4 linked regions of the Drosophila melanogaster genome follow. The protein of the gene in region 1 interacts with the protein of each later gene in a pairwise test. Each region holds a gene or a part of one and is shown on either strand. Other genes may lie near its edges.

Evidence for each region.
Region 2: the proteins of CG17327 (region 1) and CG13148 interact in a two-hybrid assay, tested with the Drosophila melanogaster proteins (one large-scale study listed by BioGRID).
Region 3: the proteins of CG17327 (region 1) and Shrm interact in a two-hybrid assay, tested with the Drosophila melanogaster proteins (one large-scale study listed by BioGRID).
Region 4: the proteins of CG17327 (region 1) and CG13577 interact in a two-hybrid assay, tested with the Drosophila melanogaster proteins (one large-scale study listed by BioGRID).

What each region holds. Positions count from the first base shown.
Region 1 is NT_033777.3:12,996,352-12,999,697, forward strand, and holds CG17327 (uncharacterized protein), read right to left. Parts: upstream 1,376-3,346; 5' UTR 1,172-1,375; coding exon of another isoform or gene 991-1,171; coding exon 571-990; 3' UTR 525-570; downstream 1-524. Other genes in the region: CG7488 (uncharacterized protein), read left to right, coding at 1-273, 331-518; CG44194 (uncharacterized protein), read right to left, coding at 974-1,171; CG7518 (uncharacterized protein), read left to right, coding at 2,234-2,749, 3,090-3,173, 3,232-3,346.
Region 2 is NT_033778.4:12,684,487-12,689,288, reverse strand, and holds CG13148 (uncharacterized protein), read right to left. Parts: upstream 3,041-4,802; 5' UTR 2,972-3,040; intron 2,681-2,971; exon of another isoform or gene 2,503-2,680; 5' UTR 2,283-2,502; coding exon 2,210-2,282; intron 1,693-2,209; coding exon 1,509-1,692; intron 1,451-1,508; coding exon 595-1,450; 3' UTR 503-594; downstream 1-502. Other genes in the region: CG30053 (uncharacterized protein), read left to right, coding at 1-494; Nup188 (nucleoporin 188kDa), read left to right, coding at 3,217-3,242, 3,305-4,542, 4,615-4,724, 4,784-4,802.
Region 3 is NT_033778.4:14,306,460-14,311,180, reverse strand, and holds the start of Shrm (shroom), read right to left. Parts: upstream 3,040-4,721; 5' UTR 2,888-3,039; intron 1-2,887. UniProt on the Drosophila melanogaster protein: Binds to Rho-kinase Rok and targets it to the apical cell cortex where it mediates apical constriction.
Region 4 is NT_033778.4:24,266,871-24,270,992, forward strand, and holds CG13577 (uncharacterized protein), read right to left. Parts: upstream 2,310-4,122; 5' UTR 2,223-2,309; coding exon 2,220-2,222; intron 2,161-2,219; coding exon 850-2,160; 3' UTR 507-849; downstream 1-506.

The sequences.
Region 1 (3,346 bases):
AAATAAGAATCAACAAGCGGGAGTCTAGCTGGAGCCATTTTAGCGACGTGTTTCTTGTTTCCGCCTTGACCGGCAATGGGCTGCAGGAGATGCAGAACTACCTGGTGGGCCAGGCTAAGCCCAGGGATTGGAAATACCCAGCTGACATTCATACGGACTCCAGCCCAGAAGCATTAATTGTGGAGAGTGTGCGGGCTCGTCTGCTGGACTACTTGCCGCAGGAGATACCCTACAACCTTAAGTGCGAGATCGAGTACTACAGTGTGGAAAAAAGTGAGTACTTCTGTACACTCGTAAAGAAATCCTTTTCAATTCCGATTTTCTTTGCAGATGTTGTCTACACATCCGTGCAGGTTCAGTGCCCCACCACGCGAATCGAGCGCCTAATCTGTGGCGAGGGTAATGGCAAGCTGCGGCAGATCACGGAGCGAGTTACATCAGACCTGGTGGAGATGTTCGGCCAAGCAGTGTCCCTTACTATATCTACAGTTTCCAAGGGCAAGAAGACCGCCGCTTGAGCACTTGTTGATTACTTGTACTTTATTTGTAACGTTGCATAAACCTAAGAGTTCACAAAAGCTTCAAATGCGCCACCAATTTGTCTAGATCTTCGGCAGGGGCTGGACCCAGTCCGAGGACCGTTGCTGTCCCAGATTCCAGCTGAGTGCGCCCGGCATCCCTCACCAAGGCGGCCACCACGTTCGACTCTTGGGCCTGTCGCTCCAGGGAGTTTAGCTGCTCGAAGTTGTCCACGCGCAGCACTATCTTCGGCTGTCCCAGGCGACACCAACGCTGCAGAATGGCGTTCTGCAGCTTGGTTCCCTGCACAGAGCTCTGGTAGCACATGACCGCCGCATGGGCGCACTGGGCCGCTGTCTTTCCCTTGGACATCTTTAGGTCGGTTCGGACCACCAGCGCCAGTTTGGTGGACTTGCCGAAGGCCAAACCGTTGCTGAGGAACTTCTGCAGGATGCTACTTGACGTGGGCATACTTCTGGCTCTGCTGCTCCACGTACTTCTGCATGCACGCCCGGAACTCTTTCACCTTCTCCTGGCAAGCCCTCCAGTCGCCCGTCTCGGCGATACACTCCTGCACCTTGTAGTGAAGCTCTATGCAGCCGGTCTTCTTCAGCATTAGTTCCACGGGATCCTGGTCCGTCGATGCGGACATTTTCTTCTCCACTTCGCCGGCTGAATTCGTTCGTTTCGAAATTACGAAATTCGGTCAGGGTTGTCAACACATCGAAGGGACACGGATATATTCTGTACGACATTTGGCCCACTATCGAATTGAAAGAATTTACTGTAAAATATATTTTCTTGCATTATAAATGTGTTTATTCCATAGACAGAATAGGAAATTTTTAGATCTTTGGGACCTTTTTCTGTATAAATACATGATGATTTGTTTTACCTACAATATATGTTGAAAAAAGTATATGAAACATACATTCCTATGGTTTTACAATTTTTGTATGGCTTAAAATGCTTTTTTAACATTTCCCAAATCAAATTTTTAAGAACGCATTAGTATAGTTTTCTAAGAATGGACCACACAGAAGTAAAGTAAAGCTCATATAAATAAAAGTTTGTGTTTGTTCTTTGGGATAGATGTAGAAAACTTTTCGGCCAAACAAGTGTGCACGGGGTATGACCATTTATTCGTGACTCTTGCGCGGCGTTGCGGTAATTTGAGCGAAGGCCGCCACGGGCACACCGATGCGAATGCAATCAACGAGAAACGAGCGAATTGCAACGAGCAGGCGAAAAATCACAAAAAGCGGAAAATCACAACAATCGTGGGTGCAAACGAAACGGAAACTGCGAGGCAACGGAAAGTCGGGTCCCGGAAAATCCAAACGGATGGCCCTGCAGTGAAACGCTGATGAAAGCAGAGGCGCACTTGGCGCGATTCGAGGGGCAAAGCGCGTTGCGTTGTGCTGCTCTGCGTTCTTTTCCAAAACCGATTTCGATTCCAAAAACCAAACCAATCCAATACCCACACTTATACACTTGCACACCGACACACCAGCGCACACACACAGACACGCGCGCGCATACAGTGAGCGAGTGAAAGTGCATCTACATCTGTGATTTCGTATATAATAATGCGTCGCGCATACGCGGATTTGGCCAGCAGAAGCACCAAAGACTAACAAGTGATCCGGAGCCGGGGACTGACTGAGTTGGCTGGGCTCATTGACCCATCCACCGCGTGAAAGCCCCGCCAGAAATGGCCGATCAGGTGGCGCACACCAAAGAAACGGATGCAGATGAGCCGCTGGTCAATGGCGAACTGCCAATGGAGGAGGCGCCGCCTTCCTGCTGCCATGTGATGTCTCTGTCCTCCATGGACGTAGATGTAGATGCGGATGCGGAGGGCGATGTGGATGCCACAGCGTCCTCCTCCTGCGTCGCCACCGCTTCCCAGCTGAATCCGTCGCCACCGCCTGCTGGTGTCCAACAGGCGAAGCCGGCGCGGAGCAGCTCACCGCCATGCCAGCTCCTGGAGCGGCTCAGCTTTCCCGACGGCAACATCATCAACACGCTGCACACGATCCTCGCCCTGCCTCCTTTTGATCCTTATGCCCCCGCCCCCAAAGCGGAGACGGTCTACAAGGAGGTCGTATCGCTGATGCAGTGGAGCCAGCGGGAAGACAACGCCATCGAACTGGAGCTCAGCGACAAGCTGCTGCACGAGTGCGAGCACAAGGGCGGCGATCCCAACGATGAGACGCGATCGTATTTGGTGGGTTCCCAGAAGCTGCCCGAAAGCTGTGGAGATCGATTTCATTTCATGTATTTTTTTTATTTAAATGTACTATTAAAGATGTGTGTGGGATTTTTTTATATTATACCTACATTTAGATTGGATTTAATGAGTTATCAAATCAAATGGGATAGAAATTATCTTATTAGATCGACTTTAGATGTTTCGAAATACTTAAACATGATTTTTTTTGGTTTAAAGAACACTTATTTGAAATTATGCTTTAGAATATTGATAGGTGCAATCATACCAAATACATTATATTTGAGAATATAAAGCTTTCTCAGTAAATACTCACTATCGTTCACCTTCTTTTCAGATGGCCATTGAGAACATGCGCCTGTTCTCTGAGGATCCAAAGAATCCGCTTCGTGACGCCGACGGACAGCTGCGTGCAATTACGGTGTGTTTGCTTGAAAGGATTAAGATGTATAACGAAACGTACTCCTAATCCATTGTAGCTATATTTCCAGAATCTTGCCTTCATATTTGTGAAACACCGGAAGGAGGAGTTCTTCACATTTTGTTCCTGCAAGGAATGTCTCGAATACCGCGAAACCATCATGGCCATCATGA
Region 2 (4,802 bases), on another chromosome or scaffold:
TAACCAGTGAACCTTGTGATGTTTCCAGCAATCTGTTGCTGAGGAAACTTTTTAACCTAGAGGCGGCTCTGGATAAGATTCATTCCTGGCAGGGACAGACATCGAATTCTTGGCACCTTCAACTGAGGAACTGCCAGAAGAAGGCGGTGAAGTCCTCTCGGCTTTTTCTGGATCGTCCCTACTACTACCCACTTCACCTGGCCCCGTATTACTCCAGCTGGCTATTGGCAGTCCATCAGCAAAAGCGAAACCAAGCCGATATATACGTGCGTGGCCTAGTGCTCATCCAGCAACTGAGTGGCCACTTTGAGATGGTTCTCCATCCAAAGAAGCCCTGCAATAAAGGAATATGTCCAAGCTTGCGGATGCGACTGAATGCAGGAGAAGGTCTGATCTTTACCACGGATATCTGGAGCCTAAGTTATGGTCTGGAGAAACCCCACGGAAAGCTGACCTCCCTGGCTAGCATTTTCGAGATAGACTGGCAGCCGTAGAGTGTTTTAGTTAGCCGAAATTGTATTTACACACCCAACTAGATACAGACGAATCGAAGCCTAAAGTTATCGAAATTTACTGGGAGGGAACAGATTCATCTTAGGCCCGGCGGCACTTGGCCTCCACCAACTTTTGCAGCGTGCCCGTCAGGCTGTTGATGGCATCGATCTTCATGCGCTCAATCCGCTCCTGCTGCACCAGTGACATTTTTTGGATCTGCACCTGTTCGCGCTGCAAACTCCGTTGTAGCTCTATCTTCTCCCGCTCCACTTCCAGTTTTCTTTCAAAGTAGTCCTTCCACCAGATGTCATCGGGGATGCCAGAAGCTTGGTGCGAGCCCATGGGTCGTGCCAGATCGTAGAGCTTGCCATTAACTTCCAGATGTTGGCTGCTATCGTTTGTACGTTCAGCCTCCGCAACTTGATCGCCATCGTACTCCATCTTGGGTTGACGGACTACCTCCGACATGCTGTTGCTATCCTCATCGAACTCATCGTTGGACTTGCTGTCCAGATTCATCTGGGCCTGCAGCAGGACCTGATCCACAGGTGTAATATACGGCTGGCTGTCCTTGGCCGCAGTCTGGGGTGGAAGTTGCACCTGCATTTGGGGTGTTCCCGGCTTTAGGCTCACCGGAGTAGGTTGAAGCTGTAAAGGTTGCTGGGGAATACCCGGATTCGGGTTTTGCCCATTAGCCGAATGTGGAGCTTGTGGCGCATTTGAAGTCTGTTGTGGCAACTGCATATCAAAGTCAGCCTTCTTGCCCTGCAGATACTTGAACATCTCCTCGAAGAACTCCCAGTGCACATAGCCGGATACGTATTTTTTGTTCAGATTCTTGTTGTAGGTGATGAGGATGTTATGCCACTTCTTCTGCACCTTTGCGGCGGAGTAGCGAAATCCCAGTCGCTGTAGTTGCCGGGTGCAGTGCAGCCAAAGAGCAGTCCGTTTTTGTCTGTAAGGGAGTTACTTTTACAAAGATGTCTTTACGGTGGAATAAAAACCTTGCTCACCTGCCCTCTGTAAAGCTACCCTCCATGGGACCGCGTATGTGAATCAATGCCCTGGTGGCCTCTGTGGTCCAAGCACGCTCGTAAGGACCACGTCCCACATTATTGCCTGCCCCTGAGGTATCTGCCTCCTCGAGCAAGCAATCATCATCCAGGTCATCCAAATCATCGTCACTTATTTGATAGGCTATGGAAATAAAAGAAATAAGTTACCTTTAATTATTGTCCTTGTTTTGAATAATATAAAAGCTTACAGATTATAATAATTATATTTGATACCCCTTTATACACTACGAAATTAACTAACGAAATCGAGGTAGTTCTAGCCTTATCTGATTTAGCTTAAGTTCAAAAACTTGTTGCTTTTGGGCAGCAGTGGCATCTCTGGCGCTCTCGCAGCATCCTTTCAGACATTTCTCTCTCTTTGTTATCCTGCTCTCATGCTCGCTCTCCCGTTTAAGTTATCACCCAACGCCAGGCCAAAAAGCATCCTAGCTATGTCAAAGATGCTAGCTGCTGCTGACATACACCTTTATGATACATACATATATACCTACATATATCCTGATACATGACACACACTATGTGCGTAGGTATGCACATATGTCCTTCCACTAGGACTGTGCAGACCAACACTTGTGCACTTTCCGGGCAATCACTCAATTTTCTATTATGATTTCACAATTGCCAATCGGCAGACTTACGTTCATTATCCTCGACATTATTTCCGTTGCTAGGGGCTTGCCCATTTCCTGCGTTGAGCTGAACTTGAGCCATTGCGGCTATCAGACTTTTGAAGTCCAATCTGCCTTTTCTGCCAGAATATGAGCAATTTTAGACCTTTCGCCTGTCAATAGTTTTCTCGTACTAACAGGACAATTTTCGGGCTGCAGCTTCCAGGCGCCGTGAACGTGAACTTCGAGTGCGCCTACTCTCTCGCGCCTTCTCCGCTCCTCTCTCGCTCGCTCTTAGATCTGGAAAAGATGGGAGGCTGCGGCTAGCCGAGGAGTAGTGGTATTAGTTTCCAAGAAATGGGCCTCTAGAATGGCGTGGTTGGGTGGCTGGGCGGTGCAGTGGGCGCCGGAGTGCAGCATCTGCGCACTTTGCACTCTGACTTCGCAGGTCTGTTAGCCGCAGCCACAGCCTCACTGGAATGGCTTTATGTGATTGGAAAGTCTAACCTAAATAGTTCTAGTCCGGCTGGATTGGAAGGCTATTTATGAAATATTTGGGAAATATCAAGATCTGAATGCTAAATGCATGTGTCAAGTTATGATTGAAGGGCCACATGCGAACGTCTATATTTGAAACCTATAAAATAGGTTTCTAAACCTATTCGCGTGAAATATATACCAATTTAACTGTAATGCTACAATAATAGATAAATAATGGGGCGCACACGTGCTTTCCATGTATATTTTATTTGTATAAATCTATAAGCGATCATCAGATCTAAGATGTCATACCTTGATTTAAGTAAGATTTAGTAAGCTAAAGAAAATGTATAAAGTACTGTATCACAATTTTCTAACTGGCTTTTTAAAACAAGAACTATCGTTTTATCGATACACCTTCGGTGTTACCAGCTGATTGTCCCGGCATTTTATTGTGCTAGGTGGCAACTCCAACGCCGCGAATTTGCGCGTGGAACAGAATACATTTGTTATTAAATAATTTTTTATTGTAGTTGTTAAGAGACAGAGCCTAGACAATGCCTGCGGTGGAAAAGAGCGTGATGTGAGTATCGGCAGTGCGACAATATTGAATGACTAAATAAAATCCTTCGATTTGCCATGTAGCACCGATTGGAAGCGCCTGTGGCCGATGGTCTCAGGAATCCACTATGAGACGCCGCAGGATACTGTACGTGAGGAGCTGATGAACGTGGCTTCTGAATTGCAGGCTGGAGTGCTCCAATTTAAGCCCAAGAATGCCTCCAGCCTCGAGCTGGGCACGTTGCTCAAAGAGAAAAAGCAGGAAAAGCTGCTGCCCTTCACCGAACGACTGCAGGATCTGTTGGATCTAGAATCCGCCCAGTGCTGGGAAATCCTTTGCTACTACCTTACGCAGGAGTACCGTGGATCGGCGAGTCTCCTTACCCAACTAATCTCTACCGAAACGAATATGGCCAAACTGCACGAAGACATACGGCATTACTACTCCCTGGAACGCATGGTTGTCCTCAAGATTGTTAAGAATCTTATCGTCTTTCACCAGGTACCGAATCATCCCTATCACCGGGAGTATCGCGCCGTGGTCGAAAAGATAACCATCCCCCGCCTTAGAGATTCATACCTAGACCAACTGGAGAGCCTTATTTGCGAAGTCCCACCCAGAAAGCTAATGGCGGGAGAATGCTTCCACTCTGCGGAACGCTTAGTTGCCTGGTCGGAGCGAAATGCTCGTGAGATCAACGAGGTGCTGCACATCCTTCTGGTGCTAGCGGAACACCTGCCCATGGGGTTGGAGCAGATAAAGAGAATATTTGCCGCCTGCAAGCAACACTCCTTTGGAAAGATGCAAAGTTATCTGGATGACAGCCAACCTTACCATCAGGAGATTATTCGAAGCCTTTCTTACTCAGAGCTAATGTTAGTTTTAAAGTGCCTCGACTTTGAGAAGCCCGAGAAGCATTCCGATCTAATTGAAAAGCTTATAGAGGATCTGCAGGTTGATATTGCCAGCATGTACCACAGACCAGAGCATGGCCCTTTGCTCCTAGCGTGGATGCTGCTTCGCTTGCGAGGCACCAACGATGCCGACGATGCCTCCAGCTTGCTCCGCTGTCGGCAGCTGGGCAAGCGAGCCGTGGATCTTAAGTGTTTTGTCCAACTGCACCTAATTGCCAGACATTCTATGTACGCCGATGACTCTATGCTGTCACGGATTGTGCGAAGAACCATATACAACCAGGTTGGATATCTGTGCGACCTCTTCGACGGCGATGGCAGCTGCGCTCGGTATGAGGGCATTTACGAATTGCTCTGCGAACTTGTCTCATGGCCACACTTAGCTAAAGACTTTTGCAGTCGGGAAGGTCAGTATCATATAATCAAAAGAGCTTAACCGAAAAAATTAGTTTAGAACGAACAACTTTACATTTATCTAGATGATGGTCCGTGTTCGCTGTACAAAACTCTTTTAGAGAACTTCCCTCTAGAATTAACACATCTGTCCAAACTGGCACTGTCACTGACAAAAGCGGGACAAGGCAACTATGTAAGCCAATACTTGTACACTCAAAGGCATCAGTTAAAATTATTTTAACAATCTTGCAGGTCAAGAGCCAACTAGAGG
Region 3 (4,721 bases), on another chromosome or scaffold:
GCCCCAATGATTTGCCAGCAGTAGCTTATGTATTTCCGTATAGTTTTCAAAGCAAATACAAGTATTAGTTTAAGAATATCTCGGGAAGGCTTATGAAATTCACCTTAAGCATTCCTGCAGTCTTAGAAAGTTTGATCGCTTCGTAAACAACTTTTGTGGCTTTTACCTCTCGCAAATCCACCTCACATACATACCATTCTATCTCAAATAGTGATGAAATGGCAATTTCTTGGGAAGTTATTTTTCGGACACGTTGAATTCCTCTGGCGATGGTGTTCGCCCCTATATCATTGCCACTGTTTATTTGCTTAGCTGGCAAGGCGGTCACAAACACACATACATTTTTGCGAAATTTGGGAAAACACTCTGCATGTTGTTTTCCCGAAATTTCAGCTTACTATGTGAGGAATTTACAGCTCCAGCGAAACAGATCTCAGCCCAAATTCGCAGCTGTAGATGTTTCCACGGGGTCGTCTCTGTTTCGGTTACAGTTCCACTGATGTTTGCACTACTTAGTTGTGACAGATAAGATTATAATTAGTCTTAGCCTGCCAAGCCGGTAACAGCGACCGATAAGATAAAACTCTACACCCAAAGAGGCAACTGGGTGAAAAATATGAGGCAGAAACGAAACGAGTTGCCAATGAAGTTGACGACGACGACGACGACAATTCAAGTTGGCTGGGAGTGGAAAGCAGATAGAAAAGCCAGTCGTCAAATATGGCAAGGTCGCCTCGCAGCGCATTCCACGGATGTTTTTGTTTGCCTTCCTAATTAAATAGATCATCGGCAACAAACCAATTGGCGCTCGACAACACATCTCTATAATTTAATCAATCTTCCAACGGCAATCACATAAAAGACGCAAAGACAAAACAAATTTTACGCATTTCGAAATGAGTTCAAAACACCCAAAAGCCAAATGTTCGTCACTGAATGCCGCCGAGTGTATTGAACTCGGTCTTTGCTCCACCTCCACCTTTACCACCAGATCCACCTACCTACCTTCCTGGCTACACGGCAAAAAAATCTGAGTGCGTTTGGTGCGGCCCTTAAGTTTTTAGAAGGCATTTCGATGATTAAAGAAAAGTTATTAACACCAGCGGCTATTCTATTTATTGTTTTCTAATAATAAATCGATCAATTTTCCAGCGAAATTACTTAATTACATTGACTTTCTTTCTGTGTAGCAAACCCCCCATTCCTCCCACAAATCGCTGGCAAGTTGAGCAAACAAGTTTGCTTTGAAATTCTTGAGTAGTATTTGATGTTGATGCTAAGCGATCCCCCCAGCCCGTCTCTCCTGCCGTCGGGACAGTTGATAAGTCGTCACATGGAAACGACATGGAAACCCTACGCCTGCTCCGAGTTCCTTCCCCCCAGAATGGGACCCGCCCATTCCCACCGAGTCAACGATTAACGCCCACTTTCCCTGGATTGCAGTGCAGAACTGTCACCTGGGCGATGGGGATTTGAATTATTATTACTGCCCCCTCCCGCTCTTTATCATCCGTTATCTCTGGCAGAATCTGAATTGGATTTCTTTAGCACTCGAGAATTTGTTTTCTCCTAGCTTTGTGGTGGTCTATGCAAATTTTCCACTGTCTTGGGGCCTCTGCCTCTCAGTTATTGTTTGGGCCAATTCAGGCCAAACTCTGCATTTGAATTACATTGAATACGTTGTATCATGTTAGTTGGTCGATTAAACGGTAGTCTAACAACCGAAGTCAGTTATAAAACGTGTGGCTTATCTTTATTCAATATAAACGTATTAAGCTCGCATCTATGAGCTTCCTTAGCATCCCACTTCACCTCTATTACTTGCACCTTTGTTCATTTTCTATATCACTAACCTAATTGTTTCCATTTGTCTTTAGTTGACTCTACCTGCCTTATCAGCTTTTCAATTGCATTAGTGTTTTTTCAACCTTCTTTTGTTCCGCGTTCTAACACTCCTTAATCAATTCTAGAAGAAAACACCTTCAATTTCGAGTTGTCTGAATCTTTTCGTTGCACTAGCTTATGTAATTGCTTTGGTCGTCACACGAACCACTTATTCAAAGATACATTTGCTGAATGAATTTCGTTTCTTACCGCAAATGTGTTTTCTCACTGGTGGCACCCGTCGAAAATAATCCAAAACATGTACCGACATGCCCCACACCTATTTTTTAATGGGGGAGGTTGGGGGATTTTTGTAAGCCAGGTTTTATGGTTATAAGTGTAGAAATGCAAACGAGATCAGTATGGTTTCGTCTTTTAAACTGACCCATGCCAAATGTGCAGCTGCTCTTGAGCTCCACCTTGTCTATATTCCCGTCTCTCTCTGACGCTCTTTCTTCCCAACTCTTTCTCACTCGCAAAAGGAAGAAAAAAGAAGCAGAAGAAGGGGCAGAAGTTTTGAAGCGCGGAAAATGGCAAGCGCCAAAAACTGGTTGGAAAATCCCTGCTGTTGGGGGGAAAACTTGTTGAAGCAGCCACGAAAAAAAAAATGAGAAGACGCAGAAGAATACGATGAAGATAAAGAAGAGGGAGAATCAAAAACTTCTTGCCACCCGCTAAAAGGCAACACAAAGCTCTGTTTTTAAGGCGGAAGAATTCTTCTAGCCTTGAAGGTTGATCTTTGTACACGGGTTTTTTTATTTTGTTTATGTTTGCTGAATTTTGTAATTTTTCGGTCGCATTTTTACACGACACCTTTTGTTTTTGTCGTTTTTTGTGCCGTTTCGTGCTTTTGGTCACTAATTGTTGTTGTTGTTTGTTTTTTCTCCCTTGCTTTTTACACGAGCTTGAGAGCTGATTAAACTTATTCACAGCATTTTCATTGAGTAGAAACTGCATTTAATTTTTTGTGCATTTTCGGTTGCTTCATTTTTTGTTAACTCACAAGCTAGCACACACACACACGAGCACGCGGGCACACAGGTACACAGTACACGGACACGAGCCCCGAATCGCGGGGCATGCAACGCTCTGGGTTTCCTTGGGTTTTCCGCTTTTCCTCACGAACTGCACGGTGCGAGAGCCAAAAGAAGACTGAAACTCGCGATCAAGCAATTCCAATCCCAATCGGGCTCGTGCCCGTTCTCCCTCCGGCTCTCTCTCTCTGCGATTGCGAAAAAGCCGCAGACTACTACTGGCTCACTCCAAGTACACGACTATCCTAGTACCCTGTATTGTAATGTGTGTTTTAGATTTACACAATGTGCTGGAAGAATTTCGCGGAATAACCGATGCCTTATGGTTAATAATTTAAAGTTCCAACATTTATTGAAGAATTTGGGAAAAGAAATATAATTTAAAACATTAACAAAATCCATATTTTTTAAGTTCTTTAAGCTAACAGGTGCTAATATAATGATGATGATTTCTGCAAAATTTATTAATTTTTGTGGAGCACACAGAGAAATTCGCCAGAAAGTAGGCAATGTTTTTTTATTTATTTAAGGATATTATATTTTGGTGTCACATGATCATTTTTTCGGTTTGTTACGTTATTTGTAACCAGTCGATCATACCTTGCATTTTTCAGTTAGGCCACGTTAGCGGCCAGCTGGAAATCAGTCCACCAGAGAGCCGAAGAGAGAGTATCTTTATCTTGAGACACCACTAAGCTGTTGTTGTTGTAGCTCTACCTGCAAGTGTAGCGTGTGCATGTGTGTGCGTGTGAGAGAGAGATGGGTCCAAGACCCAGTGGTAAATTTAGTGCTAAATAATGGGGGTTAGAGCCTCTTATCAAGTAAAGCCGAAGCAAACAGGTATGTTTGTATTTCGTATTGAAAGTCACTTATCTCAGTGGGAGAGGGTAAAAGCGAGAGAGAGAGAGTCGGCTCTTTTCGCTCAGAACCTGTTGCCGCTGTCCAGTACTCATCCATATCAATGGGAGGGGGAAGGGACGGACAAAGAGAGCGCGAGAGAAAGAGGGGCCAAGAAGCGAGCCAAGAACCTGTTGCCGCAAACGGCAAAATGGCAACTTAGCCAAAAACAAAAAAAAAACTGAACCCGAAAAAGCTGAAAAAGGGAATAAGAAGATCGTGCGTCTAAAAGAGCCAACGAATGAGGAAAGCAAGGGAAAACGGCTGATAAGCAAGGCCGTTGGGTCCAGTCTTTCAAAACTGAGTTCTTGAGGACTCCGATTTCGAATCTGATTCTGATTCTTATTCTGATTCACTCAAAGTTGATTTATGTTCTGTTTGCACTTTTCATTTTCAGCGCAAGTTGATTTTTATTTTTAATTAAGTGTGTGTGCTCTCAGGAGAATCAGAAGACGTAGCAGGAGACCCAAGACCACCAACGAAGTCGGGGTTTCGAACTTGAACTCCTTACCAAAAAAAGATCTTAGAACAATGCGATATGTTTCTTTGAAAACTGCACGTTTTGGCTTGCAGCTAACAGGAATATTTATTACCTTTCGTAATTCGTGCAACATCAATATGAAACGTTTTAACAGAAGTAAGTAGTAATATTTGTGAGGATTGAAATACCTAATTTTATGGTCACAGTTTCACATTGTCCATTTCATATTCATACTATATTCTTCAAATTGATCACAATCAGTGAAAAAATATTTTTGTTTTCTGAATTTTAGCATGTGCCCAAAAAAGGTTAAAGCTATCATTCAAAAACAATAAATTAATAAATAAATTAAAACATATTTTTGGCCAAAAGTCTCAAAAGTTTGATTGATAGAATGACATATATGATGTTTTTATAAATCGATT
Region 4 (4,122 bases), on another chromosome or scaffold:
TTTGAATGCCAAAACACGCTTTTAAATAAATCAGCGCATTAATTATTCTCGATTGCATAAATCGTTTCGCTGTCGATGCTGCCTGCCCGCCCAGGAAACTGGCTGCCCTCCCACATCACCCATCCAATTTTCCGATTTGGCGACCCCCTTCTGCTGCTGCCAACACCTCCGCACATTTTTATTAGCTACGCATAATTGCTGCGGCAATAAAGTTGTTTTTCCCTTTGGTCCCGCTGGCCGAAAAACGGACGAGAGTCGAAGGACATGGTCATGGACATGGATTTGGATGTCGGATAGACGTGGTTGTGGGGCAGCCTGGAGGCAGTGCGCGTGACCCGACAACATAACGACATTTAAGTGGCCACCGCAGCAGGAGCAGCAACATCAGTGGCATCGGTATCAGTATCGGTGGCATCGGGCGGAGTCCTTCTGCTCCAGGCTGTGGGCGTGTGGGCGTGGTCTCGGCCATGTTTGGCAACATGTTACAAAAAATTGATGCCATTGCTGTTTTTCCCAGCTATTGTTGCTGCAGCTGCACACAGTATTTATTGTTACAAGCTGGGGAAAAATGCTGGGAGTCAGTGAAATGGTATAAAATATTTGCCTAACTTGGCAGAATTCACCAGTTTTTTGTATCAGTTGTATGGAAGCACTATTGGTTTTGGGGAATAGAAATGCACAGGTTCTTACATACAGATTTTTCTCAAATATTAAATAGATCGGCGGATAATCACGTGTCTCGTTTCGAAAAATTTTGAAAAATATTTATAAAAAAAAAGTTTTGGTATTTCTAGTGTCATTTTTCCTTTGGCTGAAGTTATACTCAGCATGATTTACACATATATGCAACTAATTCTTCAGATCCTTCTTGTTCTCCGCCTCCAAGTCCCCGATAACCTCGAGTACATCATCCAAGGATGGAGGTTCCATCAGAACACCCAGGTCGCCCGGCATATCGAAGCCCCTCAAACGCATGCAAATAGTCTCGATGGCCTGCCAATCTTCCACGTTTCCCGGAGTAGCAGATGGGCCTGGGAATTTTCCCAAGGCCCTCTCGCAGACGTGGTTCAAGTCCAAGTTCCTGCCGCTGCTTTCTTCCCAGTTAATGCAAGTGGAGCCCCACAATGGATCATTTTTGGATCTCTCATCGGTGCAGATGCTAAGCGGAAATTTGTCGTCGTTGCCCATCAAGGCATACAAGTCCCAAGGCGGAGAATTCTTTGTCAGCGGCTGGGAGGTGCGCGATGGAGTCAGCAGCTCGGGCATCAGACTTTCGACCCCCATCCTATTTTCCAGATCCGCCATGAAAGGGAAGTCCGCGTCTTTGCTCGGCGAAGCTGTCCATCCGGACGGCAGATTCGGAATCTTCGGAATCTGGCATGGATTACTTTTACTGGTCGACGGCTGGCAATCCCACTGGGAGATGACATCATTCAGGGTCTGATGGTAAACAGAATCTTCCGAACCTGCTTTGCAGCGCTTGGAAGTACTCATCAGCCTCGTGTGCTTAGTCTTGCTATTTAGACCGCTTAGATGGGCCACCATTCCTGACCTTTGATCTTCTGCACGCGTGTTCGGTGCCTTTCCTGTGACTGTGTGGCTCTTTTTCCCAGTGTCTTCTATTTTTAAATCGGGATAATTGTTGTTGTCTCTTGAAATGTTAACAGAACTTTTCGAAGGAACTGTACTGAACATCTGAGGGCTACTACGATTATTCCGAGAAAAACCGCCGATCGGCCAAGGTTTTCGCCAGTCGGGTCCAAGCTCATCCATCTTGGGCATCGTGGAAGTTGCAGCCAGGTGGCGACTCCCTTCTTTGCGATGCTGCTTGTTTTCCTTGGCTCTCATATTATTCCAAGTGCCATCTGGCCTGCCCTTGGTGGAGAGTAGCAGAGAAGGCATCTCACGCGAATTCTTAGACGTGGAGCTTTCCTTCAAAACTCGGTTTTCCATGGGTTTTGCACCCTGCTGTGGACGCTCCTTCTTCGCCGAGTGAGAAGTATGGAACAGGGTCTCCACGGTCATCCGAGGTCCGGATGATGCTCTCCCGCGTGCGCCTTCAGCTGCGGTGCTCCTGCCGGGCATCATGGGGTTTATTTCGACGAATTCGCTCCTGGGCAGGGACACCGAGCGCTGGTTGCGGTTCCAGCAGCGCTTTGACTGCGAAATACAAGGAAATATTTTAGGTGTGAAATTATTTGACGTATGTGGACTTTTACCATCGCGTTTTATCGAAATCAATTCTCTGAACTGAAAAGTTCGGAAAGAAGAAAACACGTGCGTCAAGCACGAGTGGAAGAACCTGGGCTAAGATGGCGGCAATCGCGAGGCAGAGTTGCCATGGTTCCATAGGATTTTAAACTGATTCTATAAAAGCCACACTGTTAAGGCCACACTGCTTTTGGCAATTAAATGAAACACTAACAACGATGAACATTCTCATTTTGCATTTCAAAATAGTATCAAGGTACTGCCAACTGACTGCGAAAAGCTTTTATCGGTGGCGCTCCCAAATAACAGTTCCAATTTTCGTTTAAATCCAGTGCTGCAAAATCTGCAAGTTTCGGTACTAGAAATTCAAATTTAAAAGTTACTTTCATAATACATGTTCTAATCCCAACTGATTATATCTCCTCAGCCCGATGAACTCGACCCACTGCCACAGATTGGAGGCAATGCCTCAACATGTGGCCATTTAACCCAGAGGCGCATTTCCTATAGCCATAAATTGAAGTAGTCAGGAACCTTCCGCCAATCGTCAGTTGTCTTCCGGCTTTAGCCCACCAGATCCCGATTCCGATCCGATGTCACTTTCAGTGGCTGTCAATTGCGTTGGCGCCATTGTTTCGGCCAGCGTGTAAAGCGCGGAGGGAAATTGTTATTTAATTACTCAAGCAAAAGCATGACAAGTGGAAATGTCGCCTGGGCGAGGTCCTGGTCCTGGTCCCGGCATCCGGCATCCAGAGTCAGGCCCAGCAGGCCTGTCAGCTTGTCAGGAGCAGGCGCCCTGGAAAGCCGAAGCCACCGTCGCATTGGTCACTCTGCCGCTCTTCACTGCTGCTGCTGCTCGCTTTTGTTTAAATTTAAATTCTATAAATATATCTGCACGAGGGCGGCGGTGCGGGGCCACATCGCCATAAGCACGAGCAAGTGGGTTGCGACTGCAGTTGGCATCGCTGTTGGCCACTAAACAAAAGCAGGCACATGCCGTGCCCATTCGTAAACCATTTAGCAAGCCCGAAAATCGCAGGACACTTATTTGTGGTGGCTGCGGAGGGTCTGGAGTCCTGTACGAGTCAGCTGAGTTGCTTTGGGCAAATGCTATGGTCTCTAATTTTATTGGGTTTTCTCAGAGATACATATAAATACACAAATGGCTGCACAAAGCGGTCATTCCTTCAGTTTGGTGAAGTAACCTAAGATAAAAATGGCTTTGAAAGAACTTTATGAATATTTTTATCGAATTCAAATAACGATTCCTTGGAATCGTTATAAAATTTGAATTGGTGAATGTTTTAGTATCGTATTAAGGATCTATGGTTTTGAGCTTTAGCTGTGCGAAACAGGCATTCCTAGGGCTTAATGTACTTAATGTAATGTAGAGGATTGACCCTCTGATTTTCGGACCAAAAAAACGGTATTTTGTCCAAAACAATCGACTATATCGTCCAAATCCTGAGTGTAATACCTCGTTTAGTTCGTAATCACATCCCCAATCGATTGGTGTTCGAATTTGACAAATTTAATTTTTTTCAATTTTTTGCAAATTTTAATGATGTTACCCCTTATGAAAAATTCAAAAAATGGCGAAAAATGGATTTTGGAAAAACGCCTGGATTATGATATGGATCTTTAGTTTAGGTCATAAGCTGTACAAAAATGTTATTCTTAAGTGTTTCTGACACTATTTGGCCAATTTATGATAGTTAATCTGTCATTTTATGCTCAAAAATGTGATATTTCAGGCATAAAAATCGATTTTAAGATCCAAATCCTGAGCTAGGGACCTTTAATATAGGAATTGAGCAGTGCAAAAAAGTTATTTTAAAGGGCTTCTAAAACTTTTTGGCCAATTTTTAATGGTATGTCTGCTTTTTTCGCCCCGAAAATCGTTATTTTTGA